Linked DNA regions of Callithrix jacchus. The protein of the gene in region 5 interacts with the protein of the main gene of each other region in a pairwise test. Links are inferred from orthologs where the notes say so. Each region holds a gene or a part of one and is shown on either strand. Other genes may lie near its edges. The genes, in order: TEX11, POLR1C, ZMYND10, NRBP1, TSC22D4 and MAD2L1.

Region 1 (4,029 bases), on a different chromosome or scaffold from region 5:
TGTTATCTACAAATCTGGAGGCATCATGTTTTCACACTGTTGCCTCTGAGTGGAGATTAGCATCATGCTTAGATTTAGCTGGAATCAAATTTTTATTTACATATTCCACCCCTCAAGCCATTTGGTTTGGAAATGCATGGGACAGGCAAGCTTGCTGTGAGAGGTATTAGGTAGTTTCCTAAGGTAGTTTCCTAATGATTGGACAAAGGCAGGGCAGCAGAAACATGTCTTGGAACTACAAGATTTTTTAATTTTTAATTTTTCTATTTATTTATTTGTTTATTTATTTTTGAGCCGGAGTTTCACTCTTGTTGCCTAGGCTGGAGTGTAATGGCGTGATCTTGGCTCACCACAACCTCCGCCTCCCCGGTTCAAGCAATTCTCCTGCCTCAGCCTCCCGATTAGCTGGGATTACAGGCATACGCCACCACACCCGGCTAATTCTGTATCTTTAGGAGAGACGGGGTTTCTCCATGTTGGTCAGGCTGGTCTCGAACTCCCGACCTTAGTTGATCTGCCCACCTCAGCCTCCCAAAGTGCTGGGATTACAGGCGTGAGCCACTGCTCCGGGCTTATTTTTTATTTTTAAGAGACATGGTCTCGCTGTCGCCCAGGCTGGAGTGCAGTGGCGGGATCATGGCTCATTGGACCTAAACTCTCAGGCTCAAGTGATCTTTCCACCACAGCCTCCCAAGTAGCTGGGACTACAAGCGCATGCCATCACACTCGGCTTTTTTTTTTTCTTTTTCTTTCTTTCTTTCTTTTTTTTTTTTTTTTGGTGTAGGTGCAGACTGGCTTGTTGCTCAGACTGGCCTCAACTAGTCTCCTCAGCTTCTAATATGTCTGTTATTTCTGGCCTTTGCCACTCTTTCATACCCAGTGGTCAACAATGTCTACTTGCTTTATTTCTTTTCCTGTTCTTTTTGTGTGTGTGTGTGAAGTCTTGCTGTTTTTTCTGTAATCCTGGCCATTTGCACTTTTCCTCAATTCATTGTAGTATGCTTTCAGTATTACATCACACTTGCTTAATCTCAGTGAGTCTCACCCTGAAATCGCCCAGCAACTGACTCTCTGAACCGCATCCCCAGGATGTAAGGTTTAGACTGGGTCCCAAAGCCTAGGCGCCTTGACACAGGGTTAAGGCCAAGTGGGAGTGGCTTTAGTGGTCTAGCGTGACGTCACTAACGTCGCTAGGGGGCGGTGCTTTCCGAGCGTCCTCGTCCTCGTGCGCTGTGGAAGGAGGCTGTGGAGAGCACAGCCGCGGCGTTGGTGGCTGCAGCTGAGGTGAGTGATTTTTTGGGCAGGAAGGGCTAGATTAGGGTTCAAACAGAGGTTAGTTGGGTAGTTTATAACTAGCAAGAATATAGCCATCAGGCCAACACTTTTTAGAGTGGCCCTGAGGCAGTGACTTTATGCTACCGAACTGCTGGTGGCTCTCAAGGTGAACAAAAGAGGGGCAAAAGTAATGTTTTTTGACGAGGATGGAGGCATATGGGGAGGAGTGGTGGGCCATTGAAAATCGGAAATAGGAGTCATTGTTGTTTAGATGCTGAAAGACCTAAATCATGTCGAAGCGGGACTGTTGATGACCGTTGGGGGCAACGAACGTAATGTTTTTTTGACGAGGATGGAGGCATATGGGGAGCGGTGGTGGGCCACTGAAAACCGGAGATAGCAGTCATTGTGGTTTAGATGCCAAAGGACCTAAATTGTGTCAAAGCGGGACTCTTGACCGTTGGGGGCAATGTAATGTTTTTTGACGAGAATGGAGGCGTATGGGGAGCGGTGGTGGGCCACTGAAAACTGGAGATGGTAGTCATTGTAGTTGAGATGTTGAAGGACCTAAATCATATCTAAGTGGGGCTGTTGATGACCGTTGGGGACGGGATGCTGAAGGTGCTAGCTTTCTCAGAGAGCGGGAAAAAGGACCGGGAGTGCTGGCTTTCTCAGAGAGCGGGAAAAAGGACCGGGAGGGCTGGCTTTCTCAGAGAGCGGGAAAAAGGACCGGGAGGGCTGGCTTTCTCAGAGAGCGGGAAAAAGGACCGGGAGGGCTGGATTTCTCAGAGAGCGGGGAAAAAGGACCGGGAGGGCTGGCTTTCTCAGAGAGCGGGGAAAAAGGACCGGGAGGGCTGGCTTTCTCAGAGAGTGGGGAAAAAGGACCGGGAGGGCTGGCTTTCTCAGAGAGCGGGAAAAAGGACTGGGAGTGATTGGATGCTTTGAATTGCAGTTGGTAGCGGAAGTGGATTTTGAACCAATGAGAAGGAAGCAGCGAGAACCAGCCAGACCAATCACAGGGTACCACTCAGCTCCGCTTCCCCCATTGCCAGGCAGACTTACATTAAGAAAAGGTCCCTTTTATGTAACTTGGTAGCCTGGCCCTGACCCTCACAAACCCTTTCATGGGCTTTTAGCTTTACTCAGCCTTTTTTTCTCTTGTTGGATAACAAGTAACGGGAGACATTTCACTGGATAGTAATTTGTTGAGAAACTAGGGGATAAAACAGAGTATTAAAAATATTTTATTATTTCATAGGCTTCAGCCAGAGATTTAAAAATGGACAATGACGATTTTCTTTCCATGGACTTTAAAGGTACGTAGCTTTATGTGGTAGTAAAAAATAATGTCAAACTGCTGCTTATTTAAGATCTAAATATTTCGCTTCTTAGTTTTGTCTCTTTGCAGTGTCTGCAGCTCCAGGCTTTCTTATTTATGTGCTAGAAACAACGTCAATTTTATTTTTTGAGATGGAGTTTCGCTGTTGTTACCCAGGCTGGAGTGCAATGGCACGATCTCGGCTCACCACAACTTCCGCCTCCTGGGTTCAAGCAATTCTCCTTCTTCAGCCTCCCGAGTAGCTGGGACTACAGGCGTGCACCACCATGCCCAGCTAATTTTTGTATTTTTAGTAGAGACGGGGTTTCACCTTGTTGACCAGGATGGTCTCGATCTCTTGACCTCGTGATCCACCTGCCTCGGCCTCCCAAAGTGCTGGGATTATAGGCGTGAGCCACGGCGCCCCGCCAACAATGTCGATTTTTAACACATTGGGAACCTTTTATGAACTAGTGTAGGGAGACAGAATTCATAATTCATAACTTGTTTTTTTTCAGGATTTTTATGGCATGCAAAATAAAACATTTAATCTGAAAGATACATCTATTGCAATAAAAATAAATTTAAAAAATTACTGCAAAATCTTGGAGTGTCCTACTATAATCATTCGTGAAAAATAAATTATATCCTGTGTAGTTTTAGATTTAAGTGCATTTTATGGCATCTTAATTCGTTTGAAAATTGGTAATACATGTTTGGTTTTATGGGAACTCTTAATAAACAAAAGCAATTTGACTGACCAACACACCAAATTCCTCAACCATGCCAGATATAGGAGAGTTTATGGTACTTTCTTTGCTTTTGGGGAATAATGAGACCTGTGGTACCTTCACATTCATATAGTAATGAAATATGTGGTAAGAAATGTGGCTACAAATCTATGATTTAAAAAAGTTTAGGTCAGTATTTTGTTAATACTTTTTTTTTTTGAGACAAAGAGTTTTGTTCTTGTTGCCCAGGCTGGAGTGCAGTGGTGTCATCTTGACTCACTGCAACCTCTGCCTCCTGGGTTCAAGGGATTCTCCTGCCTCAGCCTCCAAAGTAGCTGGGACTACAGGCTCGCACAGCCACACCCGGCTAATTTTTTTGTATTCAGTAGAGACAGGGTTTCACCATGTTGGTCGGGCTTGTCTTGAACTCCTGACCTCATGTGATGCACCTGCCTCGGCCTCCCAAAGTGCTGGTATTACAAGTGTGAACCACCGTGCCCAGCCAATACTTGTTATTTTAAAACAACAACAATAAAGCCCACTACTGTGTACTCTAAGTTTTAAATTCAGACATAATACCTTAAAGGTATAAAGATGGAATAGGGATTATGACTTTTAAATAGCTAATATTTGAGACTGTATTTACATAAATATTTGAATCACACAGAAGAGTATAGGAAATAATACAATGAACCTACCACTGAA
Region 2 (4,233 bases), on a different chromosome or scaffold from region 5:
ATGTTGGCATACAAGCTGAAGGCCCTGGAGGCTTGTCTCTTCCCAGCCTGCCACATCTGAAGGAAGATGGGCATAGGTATTGTGGAACTCTTGGCATTAGACCCTGTTGCCTATTTTCCATTTGATTTCTACCAGGACAACCTGGGGCGACACACCAATACCAACTCCAGGACATGGGACACACCTAGGTTTACTTTTCCACCTGCAGGGGATTCCATCTTGCTTACCTGATCAGCCACCTGCCGGCTCAGCTGTCCCTTAAAGCCCTTCATGCCCAGGAACTCTCCATCCTCTTCTTCAGCAGCAGCCGCATCAGCGTCTGCATCAGCGTCTACTTCTTCCTCGCGCAGGCGCTGATGCAGTTCACCCATATCCTCGAAGCTAGAGCCTGAGGTATCATCCATGTTCTCCATGTCAATCACAGCTGAGCCTCCGCCCTGTTAAGACAATGGCTCCTAGAGTGCAGGACTTTTCTGTTCCATCCATTAAGTCCTCTGCTCATCCCAGGGCTTAGGGCTTTGTTCTTCCACTGCTGAGGATACGGCTTGGAATCACTACAGATCATGCCACTCCATTCCCCCTCATTTGCTCTCAGAACGCTTGATTTATAGCTTTGGCTATCTTTTCTAGCCTGGGAAACCAACTAGTCTTCCATTCATGTCTTTCTCCTACCTTACCTATCAAAGACTAAAAGCTTGAAAAAGAATCCATTTCTGTCTTTCCAAAGCCCCAAACAAAACTATGAACACAGTATGTTTTCGGCGAGTGCCAGTGAATCCCACCCAACCCCACTCCAGGCCTGACCCCAACCAACCTCCTAACTTGTTCCAAGAATACGTTCTTCCTAACGCCTCGGGCGGGCCCAGAGACCCGAGATCCTCAGGCTGGAGTAGTAGACTAGTCTGGCCCTTTCAGGTCAATGTTAACTCCACTGACTTTTGTGTGCAAGACCCAAAGAAGGCAGTTTTGCAAATGGAGTGAACTTCCAGGCCCCGAGGGAGAATCCCCAAGACACTTCTGGACATCGCCGGCCCTCGGGTTGCTGGCATCTGGTGCCTTGGGGCCATTACCTGGATGTTTTCTTCGAACCCTCCCCATTCCGGGCCAGCTCCGTTTCGGGCGCCGCCCGTCGGCGCCGCTGTAGTTGCCATGCCCTTTGAGGGCTCCCGTCGCTGAAGCCCGCGATAGCCCCGCGCGCAGGGAAGTGTGCGAGATGTGAGTCCCAAGAAGGGAGAGGTCCCAGGTCGCGGAGAGGTGGGATCAGCCGGAACACAAAAAGGAGAAACCCGGATGTTTGGACAAAACCAACTTCCGGAAATTGGGGACGTGGATGAAGGTGGAGCAAAGTCTCGCGATATTTAAGATTCCAGGAGGCGGTGCGTTGCCACGGAGATGGAGCAGTGCTGCTAGAACGCACGCGCCAGCTAGAGCCTGTAGTCTTTTGGAGAGATTGAACATGGCGGCTACTCAGGCCGTGGAAGAAATGCGGAGCCGCGTGGTTCTAGGAGAGTTTGGGGTTCGCAATGTAAGACTTGTGTCCTTGAGCTCAGGCGGGAGGAATGAGAGCGGAACAGGGATGGGTCTTGGGATTGGCGTGGGGATAGCCGTAGGCTCACTGTCCATTTGTGGACAAACTCATCCCTTTGCTCTAGGTCCATACCACTGACTTTCCCGGTAACTATTCCGGTTATGATGATGCCTGGGACCAGGAACGCTTCGAGAAGGTCAGTGGGGCCAGAGTTGTCCGGGGATTGTTAGGAGGGCCAGACCCTGTGGTCTCAGCAGCATGTGTCTGTCTCAGTAGCTGCTCTTGGGGGTCGCTCCGTTTGTAAGTTTTGTTGAGCAATGTGGTAGACCTCCGTTTACAGGCCAAGTTAGACACAGTTTCTACCCAGTTCTGCAAACAAGATGTTCAGTCTTGTTGAGGAATGGTGCGTATAAACAAGTGAATCTAGTTTAATATGGTAAAGGTGGTTGATAGCTGTGAAGATGGCAGGATTCGTGTGGGGAACATTATGCTGAGACCAGGAAGAGGGGCCCAGAGGTACTTAACATTTCTTGAGGAGGGAAGATCTGAATTGAGCTTTGAACGGTAAGTAAAGAACAGGAGTTAAATTAGGAAGGCTTTGAGTTTCAGGTCAGTGAAGTTGAGGATATACAGGTTTTGTGTGTATTTAGTCTATTATTGTTTCACTTAGCTTAAAATAAGGATTAAAATTGCATTTAAATAGATCACTGAATGTTACTGTTTATGCAACTGAACTGTGTGTGCAGTTTATAAAACATGATCTATAAATCTGTGCTTGGGAAAATTTTACTTTTTTTAACCTGTTGATACAGGAATAAAGTATGAACAATGAAAAAGGCTAATGCTTGAAAAAAAGTTATGGTGTGAATTGTGCTCCGGGAATGTCCAAGCAGTTCTGGCACTAGTGGTAGGCAAGATTGAAGTGTGTCTTGGGCACTGTTGATGATAGGGAGCTTGAATAGTTAAGCAGACATGATTAGATTTGCAACCCTGATAGCTGGGAGGGAATGAGTTTGAAGAGGATCGTATGGAGCAGGCAGATCTGTTGTAAGGGAAGCTGAGGTTGAAGGTATGAACTAAGACTGACGGTAGAAAGAGAGCAAAGGAAGAAAGAAGGTAAATTTGTGATTGCTTTGGTAAAGGCTGTTGGGGTAGCATAAAATGACTTTTTGACTTGGGAACTGCTTTGATGCATTGTGGTATCATTTACTGAGAGAAGAAATGGGTCTGGGGAAGAGGAATGATGATACGTCGTTTCCTGCATTTGGAGAAATCTAGCAGGCTAGAAGACTGCATATTTGAAATGAGATCAGAAGGGAGGTAAAATTTTGGGAGGTGTCAGCACAGATAGTTGCTAAAACCGTTGTTAGTGTGGTTAAGGTCACCTGGGAGAGAGACCAGAACCTGGTAGATTTAGAGATGGGTGGACGTTGTTGATCATCAGAGAAGGAAGAATGGAGCTCAGAAGCCAGGAGAATAGTTCAAAAAAGGAGGGGATTTTTTTTTTTTTTTTTTGAGATGGAGTCTCTGTTGCTCAGGCTGGAGTGCAGTGGCAGGATATCAGCTCACTGCAACCTCTGCCTCTTGGATTCAGGCAGCTCTCCTGTCTCAGCCTCCTGAGTAGCTGGTATTACAGGTGCACACCACCATGGCCGGCTAGTTTTTTGTATTTCTAGTAAAGATGAGGTTTCACCATGCCAGTCTCGAACTCCTGACCTCGTGATCCAACCACCTTGGCCTTCCAAAATGCTGGGATTACAGGCATGAGCCATTGCGCCTTTCCAGGAGGGGATTTTTTTAATCAATGCCAGGCGTAACAGACGTCTAGTAAAAGGACTGTCTAGTGTCAGCATGACTAAGCAGTGAGGTGGGTTTCTGTTCTTAGGACAATAGCTTCTGTGGATGGTTTGGTTGGGAGCCATATTGGATAGGGTTTTAATGAATGGAAGACAAAAAATGGACACTTTTCATGAACCTAAAGCAAGCACTGGACGAGAAAGAACATTTAATAAGGGACGTCTGGGCAAAGGGTGGTTTTTGGATGAGTGGATAATACTTGGAATCATCTGAGGGGGAGGTATGAAGAGCTATTACAAAGAGAGCAGGCTTCACTTAATCTTTTTCCTGTCCCTCTAGAATTTCCGTGTGGATGTGGTACACATGGATGAAAACTCACTGGAGTTTGACATGGTGGGAATTGATGCATCCATTGCCAATGCTTTTCGACGAATTCTGTTAGCTGAGGTATTGGCAGGCATGGTGACAAGGTTGGATTTGCTTTGGGAACTGCACTGACACTTGGAGTGTCACTTGGAGAATTAAGTGTCTCAAGCTGTCCTTCCCTTCTTATTTTTCCTGGAGTTTTGCTGGCTAAGGATTTTACCTTCTCATTCTTTGTAAACTTCTCATTAAACATTCTAGGAAGAGAGATAGCTCCCTACCTCTGGAGGTTGGAGTTTGTGGGGATAGGTAGGGGGTCTATTGGGTTTTTGCTGATAAGTGATTTTTTCCTTGGGCAGGTGCCAACTATGGCTGTGGAGAAGGTCCTGGTGTACAACAACACATCTATTGTTCAGGATGAGATCCTTGCTCACCGTCTGGGGCTCATTCCCATTCATGCTGACCCCCGTCTTTTTGAGTATCGGAACCAAGGTGAGAAAATGAAATTTTGGGAGAAGTGGACTGTCTGGGTTTAAATCCTGGTT
Region 3 (4,288 bases), on a different chromosome or scaffold from region 5:
GGGAGAGGAACCAGCACACTGGGTGCAGGCGTTGCATTCTCTTCAAGTGAGCCAGCCATGGGGCCTGGGAGACTGACCATTGCCTGGGAATGGTGGGAGAGCCTGGGCCACAGGACTTGGGCAGGCTATATAGTGCTGCTCACCCCAGAGCAGGATGAGCCTCGGTAGTGGACACATGGGCCTGGCCTGCTGCAGAGCTCAGGTCTAGGACAAGCTTGGCTGAGGCATCCTGGTATCCTCAGTGGGCTTGGGGACAGGGTTTGTTTTCATATATGCAAGCTATCCCCCTTTACCAAAAAGATATCCTGAAGCAGTAGCCTGGGGCTTAGGCTGGTGGGGGAGGACCCTACCTCCTTCCCGCCGGCTCCAGGGACTATGCTCCAGCAGTTCCACCAGGAGGCAGGGCAGGTTGTGTGTGCTGAGCATGCGGCTCAAGGTACTGAGGGAGAGGCTAGGGGCAGGAATGTTGGGAAGGAGGTGAGCAGAGGCAGGCTACAGGCCCAGTCTTCCAGCCTTCCACGGTAGGCCCAGGCCCAGTCAGGCTGCCCACCTGTCCACGCAGTCTGTGATGTAGCGCAGTACTGAGAGGGCCTTCAGAGCAATCTCAAATTCCATCAACTCTGCCTGCTTCTGTAGCTCCTGGGAGGCCACACAGTGTTTATGCTGGGCCACTGGGCCACTCTCACTTGCGCAGGCCTTGGGGAACCCAGACCTAGGCCTTCTCAACCCTAGGGAACCTCAACCCACCTGCATGGGGTTGTTGTCCTGGGACCCCTCCTTCTCAGGGGGGCCACCACAGCCACTCTGGGCCACCAGCAGAGTCAGTTTGCGGTGGCAATAGTCTACCAAGTCCAAGACAGTGTCTTCTGCTGACTCACACACCTCCTGGGTGAAGCGGGGAGGGAAACTTTCTGTGTCTGATGCCCTCCTCACACAGATGCAACCTTCTTTCCTGCCAGGCCCTGACCTGGAACAGTGGCCCATGGGCAGAGATAGTCTCTCACCTTGTGGAAGAACACTGTCTCCAAGAGGTTGATGATGGAGGCCTCGTGGTGTACCTGTTAGACAAAAAGAAGAACAGGGCCTGAGGGAGGGATAGGGGCCACCAGCTTTCCTCCCGGGTCCAGAGCCCTCTGAAAGAGTGGGAGGAAGTATGAACTAGGGGCCAGCTCACCACCATGTAGATGGGGAAGGTGTTCTGAGGCTTGAAGTCCTCCACCCTGCAGAGCACGGGGAACACCTTCTGCTTCCACATCTCCACTGCAATCAGCTCCTCCACCAGCGTTGGGATCTTTGAAGTGGGGGGAAAGGACAGGGGGAAAGGACAGGAGTAAGATGGGCCTAGCCTGGCAACCCTCCCATCCCTGGCTCAGCTCAGCCCAGATCTCCTCAAACACTGCTGGGCCCCTAGACTCTCCTAGACCCCATGAGTATCCTTCCTGACTTCTCTTTTGCAACTTGGACCTTCATTTCCAGCTGCTCCCAACACCTCTGTGGATGTCCCCCATGCTTGTGACTGGCTCCTGCCCAGTCCCCAGACTGCCTTGCCCTGCCTGCACCTGTACCCTTATCCTCTCTCCCTCCATTCAGGCATTCAAGCCAGCCCTTCTGCTCATGCCCTCCCTCTTGTCCTTGTCCTCTGGTCCTCCAAGGCTCTTGTGTGCCTTGGCCTCACTCTTACTCAGGACCCTTCACAGTGCCCTGTTCCTACCCTATCCCCTAGTAACGAGCTCCACCTTTCTCTTACAAAGGAACTCTTTTTTTTGTGTGTGTGTGAATTGATATTTCAGGTCATCTGCTGGTGATACTCCCTGGTCCATGTTCCAGCCAGGCATCTCCCTGGTTTCTAACTCTGCTCTCTCATGTTAGGAAGGCTGCTTCCTTCCCTGCCAAAGATCCACTTCCAATTAAGTTATCTCCCCTCCCCCGCAGCCTTACAGTCAATTCACAGATGCCTTTAGGATTTGGGCCTTCCCCTCGAATCCTAAGCTGTTCTAGGACCTGCAACTTTCTCTTTATTCAACTCATGCCCTGCACCTGGCCTGGTGTGCCAGAGTCCTGTCCATAGGGATACATAATGTAACACATTCCTCTTTCACCTTCAGGGAGGACAGGTATACCAGGCCAGAGGGCAAAACACACAGGGCATTCCTGAGGGGTAGAGTGGGTATGGAGGAAGGCAGGAATCCTGCCTGTGACCTCAGGGTACCTTCCCATGGGTGACCAGCAGCTCCTGAATGGGCTCGCCCTGGCTGACTGTGGCATCGAGTATGGCTTGCATGTTCAGCTTCTCCAGGTTCTCGTGCTGCTGGTTCCACCTGCCCCCGAGGGTAAGTGCATGTGGGTGCACGTGTGTGCATTAGGAGTGAGGATGGGGGCTGGATCCTACTGAAACCTAACCTGATCCTAAGGGGCCACAGGGGGCTCAGGAGCAATAATACTCCTGTCTCAGAACGCTCTGCTTCCCCATTTGGAGGCCCCTCCACACTGGGCAGCCCCTCCACCCGTATCAGGCCCCAGCTCCCCCACTCAAGGACAATGACCCCATGACTCCGCCTGACCCAGGTGCCTCACCCTTCGGAGCCCATCTCGCGTAGCGGGAAGCTGCGCAGACCCCGCACCAGCACGTCAGCTTCCCCGGGCAGCAGCAGCTCCAGGTCTCCCATGTCGAGGCCGGGGTCCGACAGACCCTGGGCAGCAGTCGGGTGGGGTTACTAACACACGGGGACGATGCCCGACGGTGCCAAAGTCTGGGATCGGACAGTTACGGGACGGTTGGGGAGCGTGGGTTCTCGCAGTCATGGAAACGGGTTCGCCGCGCCTGCGCATTGCGGCCTGGGCCCGCCCCTGGAGGTAGCTCTCGCCTAAATCCGGGCGGGTCTACCGCCGGCCTCACCTAGGCCGCTGCCAATCGCTACAGTACCTGGATTCCCAGAGCTTTTCGGGCTGTGACCCACGAGTCTCTCCCGATTCTTGTGGCCTGGACTCTCTCCTGGGACGCCAAGTCGGCCTGCACAGGGATGGGGTAACCCCGACCCCACCAGCTCTTCCTGCGGCTGTGGCATGTTGACCCACTCGCTGCTCCTCCTCCTCCTCCTTATGGCGTCCCGGCTCCACTAGTTGGCTCCTGAAATACTTACTGCCAGGGCGCACGACTTCTCTCCATCCAGAATGTCGTCACCTGTCATGGGATAACTGTGGCAGCCTTTTCTCTAGACTTATTTCCACGCTTGGTCCTCATGAACAGCCGGGAGCCTCTTTTTAAAAAGTGTATGTCAGGCCAGGCGCGGTGGCTCACACCTGTAATCCCAGCACTTTGGGAGGCTGAGGCAGGCGGATCACTTGAGGTCAGGAGTTCGAGACCAGCCTGGGCAAAATGGTGAAACTCTGTCTCTATTAAAAATACAAAAATTACCCAGGTGTGGTGGCACACACCTATAGCCCCAGCTACTCGGGAGGCTGAGGTAGGAGAACTGCTTGAGCCCAGGAGGCAGAGGTTGCAGTGAGGCGAGATTGCACCACTGTACTTCAGCCTGGAGGACAAAACGACACTGTTTCAAAAAAAAAAAAAAGAAAGAAAGAAAAAACGTGTACAATTACTCTCTGGCATGAGAGAGGCTCTGCAGCTACTTCGGAGCACCAAATGCTAGGTCTGTCACAGCTTACTAGCACTTCTGCAAGATCTACTTCTTGCCCTCTCTCATACCTTGGGACTTGGATACTCGCTTCTCCCCCTTGCTTCCCTGGATCTCCCTCATACATTCCAAAGAGGTTTTTGCCTCAGGGGTTTTGCACTGTGCCTGGAATACTCTTCCTTCAGGGCTCAGTTTACACGTTGGATGGCCTTTCTTGGCCATTTAATCCAGAGCAGTCCCTGCTTCCAACCCAATTCATTCTTGATCACATCTTTTTTCTTTTTTTTTTGCGGTGGCATCTCCTCTGTCACCTAGGGTAGAGTGCATGATCTTGACTCACTGCAACCTCTGCCTCCTGGGTTCAAGTGATTCTTCCACCTCAGCTTCCTGAGTAGCTGGGATTACAGGTGTGCAGTAATCTGGCTGATTTTTTTTGTATTTTTTTAGTGGAGATGGGGTTTCACCATGTTGGCCAGGCTGGTCTTGAACTTCTGATGTTAGGTGATCTGCCCACCTCAGCCTCCCAAAGTGCTGGGATTATAGGCATGAGCCACTGGGCCATGCTACATCTGTTTCTTTCTAGGTTTATTTATTATTTTTATTTGAGACAGGGTCTTGCTTTGTCACCCAGGCTGGGGTGCAGTGATGGGATC
Region 4 (3,990 bases), on a different chromosome or scaffold from region 5:
ATGAGCTAAGATTTGAAAGACATAAGGTTATGAATCAGCAGATAAGAGTATAGTAAGTAAAGCCTGACAGGAAAGTCCAAACAAGAACAGTTTGTAACTCATTAGATAAGTATAATAGGGAACAGAGGAGAAAAGAAGGAAGACTGGTGGGAAGTCAGGAGGATAGTATGGAATAAGTTTCTAGTTCAACATTGAGGTGGAGTATTCAAGTGAAAGATTAGGTATGTAACCTTGTTAGCCTTCAAGGTTGAAAGCAGGTTAATTGTCATGGGATGTACAGAAGGCAGAAAAGGAGGCAGAGGTGAGGCACAGTGGCTCATACTTGTAATCTCAGAACTTTGGGAGGCTGAGCTGGGAGGATCACTTGAGCTCAGGAGTTTGAGACTAGCCCAGATAACATGACAAAACATTTCTATGAAAAAACAAAAACATAAAAATAATCTGGGTGTGGTGGCACATGCCTATGGTCCCAGCTACTCTGGAAGTTGAAGGGAGGGTTGCTTGAGCCCAGGAGGTTGAGGCAGCAGTGAGCTGTGATTGTGCCATTATACTCCAGCCTGGGTGACACAGCAAGACCCTGTCTCAGAAAAAAGAAAGAAAATAAAGCAGAATGGTTACAGGAATCCTGGGAAATTCAGTGAATTCAGTGATTGTGGACAAAGGAAATGGTGAATATTGATCACAGTGGGTAAGTGTGGGAAGAGATAAGCTAAAAATGTGGCAAGATTTAGAAAAGAAGATAGGCAATGAGTTGGCTAATAAAGCAGAGAGGTAAAAGAAATAAGGAAAAAAGAAGGAAAAAGAAAATGTAAACATTAAATAAAAAAAGAAAGTTTGTGGTTGGAGAGCAGATAAATGACTAAAACCAGAAAGGCAGTGGATGTATCTTTCATATACCTTACAGTTTTTGAAGCCCATTCAGGTGCGTTTGTCAATATATTGTATTCTCAGTAAGTGCCAAGCCCCTGCTATGTACAAAGCCTTGTGCTAAGTAGAATGAGAGCTATAAAGATGAATACATTGCGGGGCTTGCCAGATGCCTACTCCAGTTCCTTATTTTCTTTTCTAGGAGTTCATTCAAAAGTGCCTGCAGTCTGAGCCTGCTCGCAGACCAACAGCCAGAGAACTTCTGTTCCACCCAGCATTGTTTGAAGTGCCCTCACTCAAACTCCTTGCTGCCCATTGCATTGTGGGACACCAACGTGAGTCCTACTGGCCCTACAGGGAATATTCTTCCAATCTGGAGCCCTGTAACTATCACTGGCATGCTTGCTTTCCTCTTCTATTTCCAAAGGGATTCTTTTTTTTTTTGAGAAAGAGTCTCACTCTGTCTCCCAGGCTGGAGTGTGCAATGGTGCGCTCTTGGCTCACTGCAACCTCCGCCTCCTGGGTTCAAGCAATTCTTGTGCCTCATCCTCCCGAATAACTGGAATTACAGGCATGTGCCACCATGCCTGGCTAAGTTTTGTATTTTTAGTAGAGATGGGGCTTTGCCATGTTGGCCAGGCTGGTCTTGAACTCCTGGCATCAAATGATCTGTCTGCCTCAGCTTCCCAAAGTGCTAGGATTACAGGCATGAGCTACCATGCCCTGCCTCCAAAGGGATTCTTTACCCCTTTACATTTAATATGACTATTCCTCCATAACATCCCACTCCATCATGCCCTCCAGACATGATCCCAGAGAATGCTCTGGAGGAGATCACCAAAAACATGGATACCAGTGCTGTACTGGCTGAAATCCCTGCAGGACCAGGAAGAGAACCAGTTCAGACTTTGTGAGTAACTGAGATGGTCTGAAAAGGGCAGATTGGTGACTACCACTCTTGAGGTTCTGTTCATTCTCTGGGAATGGTTGAATTTGCTTTTTTGCTTGTTTCCTTCTTTCCATCTCCTTTCTCTTTTCTCCTCCAGGTACTCTCAGTCACCAGCTCTGGAATTAGATAAATTCCTTGAAGATGTAAGGTGAGAGCAGAGTGAGAAGACAGGCTTTCTTGAGGAAGCAGGCAGTGTTGGGTATCCTAAGACATTCACAGAGCTCATGTGATCTGTTTTCATCTCTCTCCAGGAATGGTATCTATCCTCTGACAGCCTTTGGGCTACCTCGGCCCCAGCAGCCACAGCAGGAGGAGGTGACATCACCTGTCGTGCCCCCCTCTGTCAAGACTCCAACACCTGAACCAGCTGAGGTGGAGACTCGCAAGGTGGGAGCTGTGGTGGAAGGGAGAGAGGACATCACAAATAAGGCTCTATCCTTTAGAGAAAATGCTCCCTAGCAGCCATGTGCTATGGGCTGGAAAGGCGTCTAGGTATTGGGTTTTTTATGGACAGGTCTCTAGAGTGACCCTCTCTGTCCTCCTTCCCTAGGTGGTGCTGATGCAGTGCAACATTGAATCGGTGGAGGAGGGAGTCAAACACCATGTAAGGCTCAGGGCTAGGGTTACGCAGGGCTGATGGCTAGAGGGTAGGGAGGAGTCTCATTTTCTGACTGTCCTATTCTCCAGCTGACGCTTCTGCTGAAGCTGGAGGACAAACTGAACCGGCACCTGAGCTGTGACCTGATGCCAAGTGAGTCTCTCCTTTCCCTCAGAGGATGGAGAGTCTGTGAGCCTTATCTTTGAGGGACATATTCAGGAGTGGGGAAGGCGACAAGGCAGTAACACATTGACTCACAAAGAATGGCTATCTTAGCCCCTACAACAGTGGGTGGATCTGACAGTTTAGCCCTAGTGGTGCTGTGTGAAGGGCCCCAGGTCCCTCAGTCCTGTACTGTACTCACCCCCTCCTGTTTCTCTGTTAGATGAGAACATCCCCGAGTTGGCAGCTGAGCTGGTGCAGCTGGGCTTCATTAGTGAGGTGAGATTTCTGCCTTCATCTGACCTGGCTGCCCCAGTGCCTTCTCTTCTCTCAGCCCCTGTCTCACTGAGCTCTTCTCCCCCAGGCTGACCAGAGCCGGCTGACTTCTCTGCTAGAGGAGACCCTGAACAAGTTCAATTTTGCCAGGAACAACACCCTCAACTCAGCCGCTGTCACCGTCTCCTCTTAGAGCTCACTCGGGCCAGGCCCTGATCTGCGCTGTGGCTGTCCCTGGACATGCTGCAGCCCTCCTGTCCCTTCCCCTCAGTCAGTATTACCCTGTGAAGCCCCTTCCCTCCTTTATTATTCAGGAGGGCTGGGGGGGCTCCCTGGTTCTGAGCATCATCCTACCCCTCCCTTCTCTTCCTCCCCTCTGCACTTTGTTTACTTGTTTTGCACAGACATGGGCCTGGGCCTTCTCAGCAGCCGCCTTCTAGTTGGGGGCTAGTCGCTGATCTGCCGGCTCCCGCCCAGCCTGTGTGGGAAGGAGGCCCATGGGCACTGAGGGAGCCGAATTCTACAATCCCGCTGGGGCGGCCAGGCGGGAGAGAAAGGTGGTGCTGCAGTGGTGGCCCTGGGGGGCCATTCGATTCGCCTCAGTTGCTGCTGTAATAAAAGTCTACTTTTTGCTAAAAGCGTCGTGTGTTCGAGCCTTGCCAGCCAGGGGGAGCGGGGCCGGGGCAGAGGCGGGGCCCAGGTGGGAGGGGAGCCCGAGACGGAAGCGGGGCCAAGGTTGGGGCGTGGCTGAGTCCATGTAGAGCTGCCCTATGGCCGGTGAGGCTGATGGGATGAGGCGCTGCCGTCTCTGCACTTTCGGTAACTTCCGGCTCCTGGCGTCTCTTGTCCTTCCCCTGGGGCCACTCTCGGCCTGTCGTCCTTGTTGTCGTCGTTAATCTGCCTCGAGCCACCTTTCCCTTACCCGCCCGGCTCAACCCTGCCCCTCCCCCATGCTTTGCAGACGCCGTCCGGGGCCCCCGGCGGCTGATGCGCGTGGGCCTCGCGCTGATCCTGGTGGGCCACGTGAACCTGCTGCTGGGGGCCGTGCTGCACGGCACTGTCCTGCGGCACGTGGCTAATCCCCTTGGCGCCGTCACGCCGGAGTACACCGCGGCCAATGTCATCTCTGTCGGCTCGG
Region 5 (4,059 bases):
AGGTTATTTTTATACTGTGGTTTGTGCCCAAGGCCAGGAAGGGGAAAGAGTTCGCATCCTCACACTCCCTGCCTTTCCCCAGCCCTCCGAGGTGTTATTTTCTCCCGCAGGACAGAAGTATTCAATCCCCATGTCTCTGGCTTCTCGCCCCCACCCTGGGGACCCAGGCATCCTGCCCCCCACCCCCAGCCCAGACTTGTTCCTCTTTTGGAGACAGGAAGGAGAAACAGTACGGGGACTGCATTCCTCCTCAAGTTCTTCTTGCCTGGAGGGAGTTGAGCCAGACAACTGGGGAGTGAAAAGGATCAACCAGCAAGCCCCTTCCCCATCCCAGGGAGGTGTTCCCCCCACCCAATTTCTCCATGACACTTGGCTTGCAGCAAAGCTAGAAGTGGGACTGCGATGGGTGGCTGGGGGAAAAGAAAGACCCCACATTCAGGATGGGGCTGCAGTGGAAAGAGACTGGCAGCATACAAGGCCTACCTTTTACCATTCCTCCCCAAATCCTGGCAGCTCCTACCCCAGGGACCCAGCTACCCAGCTGGGGCCTCCACCCTCATCACCTAGAGCCAGAGGAGCTGAGACCAAGACAGAAGAAGGCCAGGTGAGGAGGCCACATATGCCAGGCCACGTGAAAACCAAGACAGAATCAGAGGCCAGAGAGAAAGAGAAAGGGTGCAAAAAACAGGAAGGAGGCTGAGGCAGAAAACCAAGGAAGGGGCTTGAGAGTGACTTGGCAGGCACAGAGAAGGGGCTGTCTGATCTGATAGACAGGTGATGGAAGAGGAGGAGGTGGAGGAGGAGGAGGAGAAGGGATAGGAGGGGGGAGGAGGGGGAGGGAGGCAGAGGTAGGGAGGCCCAACATGAAGGTCAGGCCAGGGCTGAGATGGGCGAGCCCTAGAACCCAGGTCTTACCTGCCCCATCTCCTCTGGAGCACCCAACTCCATCCGCAGCCGCATGTCTACAGCCTTCCTCCGGGACAGTGGAGGGGTCCTGGACCCGGAGCCCCCAGCCTCTGCTTCCACCCTCAGGGAGGGCAGGGGTGTGGCAGCCCGAGATGTGCCCCCGCTCTCCCCAGTCCCAGGCTCTGGGGGGCGCTGCTGAGGCGGGGAAGCCGACAGTGGGGGTGTCTCTGCCTTGGCTTTTCCGGGCACCACCAGCTGGCCCAGCCCCCCAGTGAAGGAGCGGGCCTGAGGTCCGGGAGAGGTCGGCGGTGGACGGAGCCAGGAGGTGGGGCCCTGAGACAGGCCTGACTGTGGGGTGGGGGTGCCCAGGCCGAGGCTGGCCAGCTCCAACCTGGAATCCAAAGATCTGCCCCCAGCGCCCGCTGATGTCCCTCGAATTCCCTCCAGGAGGCGGCCAAAGCTGTGGGGCTCCAGGTCTCGCTCATAAACATCCACACAAGTCCAGCGACCTCGGCGATAAGGCTCTCCCAGGCCGTGGGGCAGCTTCACCACCCGGAAACGGGAGGAGGGGGCCCCAGGTGGGGGAGAGCCATTACGGGGGGTGCCCTTGCCCCCCGGATCAGGGCTGTGCTCCCCATTTGGCAGGCGGGGTGGGGGCCCGGTGGGGGGCAGTGGGCCAGGGGGGTCCGAAGCCGCTGGGCTCCCCGGGCCCTCGTAGTCCGTGGTCACGCTGGTGATTTGGAAACTACTCTTCTTCTTGCCCCCGCTCATGGTCCCTGGGGCTCAGGGCTGGGCCAAGGTTGGGGGTAGGCTGGGGCTCCTTGAAGGGGCTCAGGCACCCCTGGAACAAGGGGGCCACATGGTGGGGGCATCCGGGCCCCTGGGGACGTCTGGGTCCGACATGGCAGGAGGGCCTGGCGGGAACCGGGGGTGCCTGCTGGGTGAGGGGAGAGGAGGAGAGTGGAGGTGGCAGGAGGGGGGAGCAAGGGCAGGTTTTTCCTGCTGCTGTCGCTGCTGAACTCCAGAGCTGAGTTTGCAAACTGGAAAAAGACAGAGAGAGAGAGAGAGTTTATGTGTGTGTCTGTGTGTGTGTGTGAAACCAGTGGGCAGGCCACCTCCGGGGCTTCCTCTCCGGGGAGCAAAGTGGGGGAAGAGGAAACCGTCAGAGAACCAGAGGCAGGCAAGAGATGACAAGAGACCAGGGCAGAGGGGACCGGATCCCAGAAGGCGTTCAGGGTAGGAAGAGGCAGACGGGTCCCAGAGTTGAACATTTCTCGCTTGGGATTCCGACTCAGGGATCCTGCATTGTCCCAGGAGCTCGGACTCCAGGGCCTGGGAGAACCGGGGTGAAGCAGCTCCCCAGCCTGGCCCGGCCACCCAGAGAGAGACCTCTCCTAGGCCTCCAGCCCCCACCCTCACCCCAGCTCCCACATCTTTGGGTCAAGCCCTGCCAGGCTACCCCTCTGCGCCCCGCCCAGCCACAAGCCCTACCTCTGGGGCCTCGGCCACTGATCTGAGCCTGGGGGTCCCGGCGCCTAAGAGGTAGGGCTGTCGGTTCCCTGGGGCCTCCTGGCCCCGGGCAGTGGCGGGACTCGCAGGCGGCGATCACAGGCTGCCCCGTCCTCTTCGGGGGCCGCAGCTCATTCTGCGAGGCATCTCCGTGTAAAGTTTGCTCTCCGAAAAGAAGGAACCCGAGCCTCCTCCGAGGAGCCCAAGCGCGGCCTCTGAAGCACCAAGGGTCTGGAGACGATGTGGGAGGGGGCGGCGGAGTCCCCCGCTGCTCCCGGTGGCAGCCGGCGAGTTGGTGTCCCGAGTCTCCTCCCGCGTGGCCCCGCTGGGTCCTTGTCTCCGCTCCTCGGCTCCCCTGGGTCTGCCTCTCCGTCTTTCTCTTTCTGAGCTGTTGACAACCCCCACACCAGGAAGTCCTGCCTCCTCGGGCCTGCTGACTGCTCCTCTCCTCCTCCTCCTCCTTCCCCTCTTCCTCCCCTTCCTCCTCCCTCCCTCCCTCCTGGGGCTCCCCGCCAGCTGGCCAGGGGCCAGGCCTGCCACAGCCGCTGCTGTTGCAGTTGTTGCGGCCGCTGCTCAGGCTGCTGCTCCTGGGGGCCGCAAACAGACTCCCTTAACCCCACACCTGCCGGGCCCCAGCACCACTCTTGCAGGGAGGGGCTGCAGAGGGCGGGGCTCGGGGAGAAAGGGGAGGAGCTTGCAGGGAGGCGAGGGATTCCCTTACTTGTAGTCAATTGTTGCCCCTCTCCTAGAGACTCACCAAAGAGAGGGACGGCACAGGCCTGGAGGTGTACTGGGTGCCCCCCCAGAAGTGCCTAGTTCCTGCTGTGGGGCGGCTGTGGCTATTACCGTCATTCTCCTTTCCTTTCCACAGCAACTAAATGAGGAAGGTACTATTATTCCCCTCATTCCTTATTTTTAAAAGTGGATTATTGCCGAATACTGTGGCTCACACCTGTCAATCCCTGCACTTTGTTTGGGAGGCCGAGGAAGGAGGATAGCTTGAGACCTGTTTGGACAATATAGCAAGACCCGGCCCCTACAAAAAATAAAAGAATTAGTTGGGCATGGTGAGGTGCACCTATAATTCCAGCTACTCAAAGGCTGAGGTGGAAGGCTCGCTTGAGGCCAGGAGTTCGAGACCAGCCTGGGCAATGTAGCGAGATCCCTGTCTGTACAAAAAATTTTTAAAATTAGCTGGGCATGGGGAGGTGCACTGGTAATTCCAGCTACTCAAATGCTGAGGGAGGAGGATTTCTTGAGCCGAGGAGTTTGAGACCAGCCTGAACAATATAGCCAGATCTCCATCTCTACAAAAAATTTTTTAAAAAATTAACTGAATGTGGTGATGTACACATATAGTCCCAACTACTCAGGAGGCTGAGGCAGGAGGATCTCATGACCCCAGGAGGTCGGGCCTGCCATGAGCCAAGATGCACTCCAGCCTGGGCAACAGAGTGAGATGACATTTCATTCAGTGAAATGACATTGTTCGGGAGCCAGCTGTATTTTGCTAGACTATTTGAAATCAAATCCTGGACATTATATTATTCCCCTCTCCCCCACCCTCCTCCTTTTTATTAGAGACAGGGTCTCTCTCTCTCTCTCTCTGTTGCCCAGGATGGAGCACAGTGGTGTGATTAAAGC
Region 6 (4,222 bases), on a different chromosome or scaffold from region 5:
CTAGACACACATAAGGTGAAATGTCATCAATCCAGTCTCATAGGAGACAACCTAAAAACCACTGGCTTAGGCAATATCTGCTTCTCTAGCATATTAAGATGAAGGCACAGATCCACAGTTGCCTAGAGGTTCCAAGCTGAATGATGTGAGCGAAAAAAAGTACAGCCTTTTGTTCTCTCTCTCAAAAAAAAGAAAAAAAACCGTGCAGCCCTATGATTCACTATAGATGATTTATTCCTGACTCCCAATTTTGGATGCAACTCTGGGAGAGGAGGACTGTTCCTATCAATGTCTTTCCTGTGTACACTGAGAACAGAGGTCTATTCTCACACCAAAAGAGTTCTCATCTTGCTGTTTAGACAATACCAATCCACTACAGCAGAAGTTCTCAACCAAGGGCAATTTTGTCCCCTAGGGCATATCTGGCAATATAACATATAGAGACATTTCTGGTTGTCAGAGCAAGGGGGTTTGTTACTGGTATTTCATGAGTAGAGGTCACGAATGTTGGTAAACATTACAACACACAAAAAAGCACCCACATCAAAGAAATATCCAGGCCAAAATATCATTAGGGCTATCTTCCCTTGCCTGTCAATTTGAGACCTGACATGCACAGGCTGTTGAGGAATTCCACTCCTGTACATATAAATGGCAAGTCAATGGTAACAATTTACCTAGAGGATAGTACAGCTTCAAAGAGAGTTATCAAGCTAAAAAAGTTCACATGGCCATCATCAGAAGAGCATATTAAAAATGGGTTAGTAAAAATGCCATGAAAACGATAAAGAAGCCACATTTGAAACAAAAAATTCTGGTCAACAAAAGAAATGATTTCTAAATTAAAAAAAAAAAATGATGGCCACTGTAATACTCTTTGAAACTAATATTTTAGAAGATAAAATAAGAGAAACATTTGAAAAATTGGAAATGAGCATCCTAAGTGGCGGGAAACACAAAAGAGAAACTAACAGGAATTCTAGAAAGGAAAAAGAAACAGATGAACAAGTATTCATCCAAGAGGTAATACAGCAGTTTCCCAAGTTAAAGAAAAATAATGAGTGTTCAGACAGAAAAGGCTTACTGCATCACAGGCAGAATTTTTGTAAATGACAAAGAGAAAGAGGTGAAAAACAAAACAAAAAAAAACTGTTGGTGTTCTGTTATGTAGCAGGTAATCTTTACTTTTTTGAAATTTAGTTCTCTGGTTGAATCCAATTTTATGTTTCTTGATCTTAATCTAATTATAACAGGAGACTACAGAAAATTAATAAATCATATTGAGACTATGTAGTGTATATTTTCTCAGCTAGTGAACACCAATATAATTATGTAACATTCCAACTTGTTCCATTTAGCAACATTAACTGCAAAAGCCATTTCTAAAGGAGTTGATGAAGACTTTTTTTTTAGCCGTATCAGATTTCTAACATCAAAATATTCAGTCCACTCACAATGCAGTGAGGGGAAGAGTGGATTTCTTCCATTTTACATATTATTTGCTTCCTCCCAACTGAAAATCACTATTTCCGATGTTCTACACTTCTATGTGCAGAGTGGAAAAAATTACTACTTGAGATGCCTGAAAATGTGAAGCCTAGTCTACAAGACTCAAATTGTTTCCAATGATTAAATACCTTTTAGTTGTTCCACCACATTATTTAGGTATTTTATGAGCTCAAGATCAGTAGTTACAAGCAAGGTGAGTCCATATTTCTGCACGCGAGTAAAGGTTTCAGATGGATATATGCCACGCTGATATAAAATGCTGTTGATGCCAAATGCTGCAAACAAAAGAAATGTCACAGAAAATTCCTTATCACTACATAACTTTGGAAAATAAAATATATTTAGATGTGGCTCTATTTTCATTACGCAATAAAGCTGTAAATGACAGAACACACGTGTTTGTATCTTACTCAGAGTAGGTACAAAGCGGCATTAAAAATCCTTAAAAGTCTTGCTTCTAAGAAAGAAAGGTATTTGCTTTCGTGCGGCAATAAGAAAAAAAAAACAAAGTGTATCAACCTACCATTGCCAAATTTCACCTCATTGTAAACCAAGTCCAAATTAATATTATGAGGCTAGAGGATATCAAAATAGGCTGTTGCATTCGAGTTAGCAACTGACTTAATAGTCACTGTGCTCCAGGCAAGCCTGCATCTTCCCCTTTCCCTCTCAAATCCTGCCAGATTCCTTTAGAACGTGCAGCGGGCCTGGTCGAGAACAGGCGTTCCCAAAATCTTGTTTACCACCAGCCTCACGCCTCACGATCACTTAAGAGTGGGAGGGTCAGGGTGCGGCCGCAGTTAAAGAAACAGAACAACCCTCCCTTCCCCCTACACAGGACACTGGGGCCCACCCCAGTCACACTCTGTCCTGTTTCGTGAAGTAAGCGGTGGGAGGTGGGGTGTTTCTGCACAAACGCTCCGGAAGAGGCTACGATGTGAGGCAGGCCCCAGCAGCACGCAGGCCCGCCGCTCCACGTTAGCAACGCGTCAGGAGGAAGCGACTGCAGCCGCCTCGCCCCAGATTCCTTCCCCGGTCTTGGAGGCCGAGCCGCGGGCCTCCTGAGCCGCCAGGACTCAGTTCACCCCCACTAAGGCCTGCGCAAGAACTTACAGAAGAACTCGGCCACGATTTCGGCACTCCCGCGCAGAGTGATTCCCTGCTCCCGGGAGAGCTGCAGCGCCATGGCCACGGACACAAGCAAATGCACGCGCTTCCACTCCGCTGACAGCGACCGCAGCGGCTCCTTAACAATTCCCCGCCAAGCGTTTCAAAAGTAACGACGCAGCCCGTCGTCGGGTCTTTTGCGCAGGCGCGACAGGCCTTTAACCCCGCCCTACGCGGCGGGATCCTGCCCTTTCTCTCCGTCTTCCTGCGATCTCGCCGGAACAGCCGGTTCGCGCAGGCGCAGTTTGTGGACTTGATCTGCTGTGCCTGTGTGAAGCTCCGGTAGGTTGTGATTAGATGTCTTCTGATCCTAGTCTACTAGTTGCGGCCGAGGCAAGAAGATGACGATTCCAATTTCAGTAGCCGGTGTCTACGCTTATGAACTGAAAGACCATGGAGTACCGTTTCCGAGTTTCAAAGTTACTTTCAAACTGAAATGAAGTGTTTGCCAGCTGCATCCGAAGTGGCACACGTGACCCCTAGTGAACGGTCTAAACTTCCGCTAGATGCTTTGGGAATTCGTGAAGCTACCGCGTGCGCGGTAGCCAGGCTGCAGCTTTGGAGGGTCTGCCTTCTGTGTGGGAACGCGGCTTTTCCCGAGAAATTGAGTTAGGGATTAAAGAGGGGAACTGCATCCTCTTTTCTGCCCATTTTCCACGTCTGTCCTAGGCTTAAGGCACCCCTCAGAGGCCAGAGGAGTAGGCGAGTCTGGGGCGGTAGGGGGACTGCGTCCGGAAGTCCAGGTTGCGTTCTGTCCACCCTGCCCACCCTTAGGCGGCAGGATAGGAATAAGGTCACCTCCCCAAAGAGGCTCATCAGCATTGAAGAATACTCAGTGTATCTTGACTCACCACACTCTATGACTTTTCATTGAAAAGGGTGAGAATTATTAAGGAGATATTGCACAATTAATGTTCATGTCAATTTTAAAAGAATTCTTAAAGCAGCTAGGAAGATATTTGTAGAATGACGCCTGAAAAACTTTTATATCTGCCAGACATGCTGTTATTATATGAGAAATACTTGAATGTTGTTAGTTTTCTATTGCTGCATAACTAATTACCACAAATCAGTGGCTTCAAAACACCACCTATTTGTTTTCTCAGTCCTGTAGGTAGAAGTCTGGACGTGGCATAGTTGACTGTTTTGCTCAGTCGCACAAGGTTGAAATCAAAGGGTCTTCAAGTGGGGGTTTCATCTGAGGTTTGAGGTCCTTCTAAACCCTCTGACAGAAAGTGGTTGTTGGACTAGGATCCCTTTTGTCTTGCTAGCCGTTGGCCAGAGGCAAGCTGTTTTTTTGCCAGCTGGCCCTTCCATAGACCTTCTCACACCTCCCATCCCCCTGACTTCAGGGAGATTCCAACCCTTTTAATTTTAATTTAATTTTTAATTTTTATTTTTATTTATTTTTTGAGACGGAGTTTTGCTCTTGTCACCCAAGCTGGAGTGCAATGGCGTGATCTCGGCCCACCGTAACCTCTGCCTCCTGGGTTCAGGCAATTTTCCTGCCTCAGTCTCCTGAGTAGCTGGGATTACAGGCACGCAC

Evidence for each region.
Region 1: the proteins of TSC22D4 (region 5) and TEX11 interact in a two-hybrid assay, tested with the Homo sapiens proteins (2 studies listed by BioGRID and IntAct). The two-hybrid records come from large-scale screens. The link is inferred for Callithrix jacchus from reciprocal best matches to the Homo sapiens genes TSC22D4 and TEX11.
Region 2: the proteins of TSC22D4 (region 5) and POLR1C interact in binary tests that used the Homo sapiens proteins (3 or more experiments, as listed by UniProt). The two-hybrid records come from large-scale screens. The link is inferred for Callithrix jacchus from reciprocal best matches to the Homo sapiens genes TSC22D4 and POLR1C.
Region 3: the proteins of TSC22D4 (region 5) and ZMYND10 interact in binary tests that used the Homo sapiens proteins (3 or more experiments, as listed by UniProt). The two-hybrid records come from large-scale screens. The link is inferred for Callithrix jacchus from reciprocal best matches to the Homo sapiens genes TSC22D4 and ZMYND10.
Region 4: the proteins of TSC22D4 (region 5) and NRBP1 interact in binary tests that used the Homo sapiens proteins (3 or more experiments, as listed by UniProt). The link is inferred for Callithrix jacchus from reciprocal best matches to the Homo sapiens genes TSC22D4 and NRBP1.
Region 6: the proteins of TSC22D4 (region 5) and MAD2L1 interact in binary tests that used the Homo sapiens proteins (3 or more experiments, as listed by UniProt). The two-hybrid records come from large-scale screens. The link is inferred for Callithrix jacchus from reciprocal best matches to the Homo sapiens genes TSC22D4 and MAD2L1.

What each region holds. Positions count from the first base shown.
Region 1 is NC_133524.1:68,184,818-68,188,846, reverse strand, and holds the start of TEX11 (testis-expressed protein 11), read left to right. Parts: upstream 1-1,229; 5' UTR 1,230-1,284; intron 1,285-2,276; exon of another isoform or gene 2,277-2,295; intron 2,296-2,533; 5' UTR 2,534-2,554; coding exon 2,555-2,591; intron 2,592-4,029. UniProt on the Homo sapiens protein: Regulator of crossing-over during meiosis. Involved in initiation and/or maintenance of chromosome synapsis and formation of crossovers.
Region 2 is NC_133505.1:51,998,509-52,002,741, forward strand, and holds the start of POLR1C (DNA-directed RNA polymerases I and III subunit RPAC1), read left to right. Parts: upstream 1-1,433; 5' UTR 1,434-1,456; coding exon 1,457-1,525; intron 1,526-1,652; coding exon 1,653-1,724; intron 1,725-3,664; coding exon 3,665-3,772; intron 3,773-4,047; coding exon 4,048-4,180; intron 4,181-4,233. Other genes in the region: protein YIPF3, read right to left, coding at 1-56, 228-437, 1,071-1,151. UniProt on the Homo sapiens protein: DNA-dependent RNA polymerase catalyzes the transcription of DNA into RNA using the four ribonucleoside triphosphates as substrates.
Region 3 is NC_133516.1:32,917,247-32,921,534, forward strand, and holds the start of ZMYND10 (zinc finger MYND domain-containing protein 10), read right to left. Parts: upstream 2,801-4,288; 5' UTR 2,667-2,800; coding exon 2,575-2,666; intron 2,319-2,574; coding exon 2,210-2,318; intron 1,292-2,209; coding exon 1,175-1,291; intron 1,059-1,174; coding exon 1,005-1,058; intron 886-1,004; coding exon 748-885; intron 640-747; coding exon 551-639; intron 452-550; coding exon 351-451; intron 1-350. UniProt on the Homo sapiens protein: Plays a role in axonemal structure organization and motility. Involved in axonemal pre-assembly of inner and outer dynein arms (IDA and ODA, respectively) for proper axoneme building for cilia motility.
Region 4 is NC_133515.1:87,585,567-87,589,556, reverse strand, and holds the end of NRBP1 (nuclear receptor-binding protein), read left to right. Parts: intron 1-897; exon of another isoform or gene 898-1,025; intron 1,026-1,069; coding exon 1,070-1,202; intron 1,203-1,671; coding exon 1,672-1,777; intron 1,778-1,913; coding exon 1,914-1,964; intron 1,965-2,067; coding exon 2,068-2,203; intron 2,204-2,366; coding exon 2,367-2,420; intron 2,421-2,503; coding exon 2,504-2,567; intron 2,568-2,778; exon of another isoform or gene 2,779-2,799; coding exon 2,800-2,855; exon of another isoform or gene 2,856-2,940; coding exon 2,941-3,045; 3' UTR 3,046-3,490; downstream 3,491-3,990. Other genes in the region: KRTCAP3 (keratinocyte-associated protein 3), read left to right, coding at 3,623-3,671, 3,814-3,990. UniProt on the Homo sapiens protein: Required for embryonic development. Plays a role in intestinal epithelial cell fate and proliferation, thereby involved in the architectural development of the intestine potentially via the regulation of Wnt-responsive genes.
Region 5 is NC_133503.1:13,245,253-13,249,311, reverse strand, and holds the start of TSC22D4 (TSC22 domain family protein 4), read right to left. Parts: upstream 2,801-4,059; 5' UTR 2,398-2,800; intron 1,947-2,397; 5' UTR 1,678-1,946; coding exon 916-1,677; intron 1-915.
Region 6 is NC_133504.1:77,657,963-77,662,184, reverse strand, and holds the start of MAD2L1 (mitotic spindle assembly checkpoint protein MAD2A), read right to left. Parts: upstream 2,801-4,222; 5' UTR 2,696-2,800; coding exon 2,623-2,695; intron 1,785-2,622; coding exon 1,638-1,784; intron 1-1,637. UniProt on the Homo sapiens protein: Component of the spindle-assembly checkpoint that prevents the onset of anaphase until all chromosomes are properly aligned at the metaphase plate.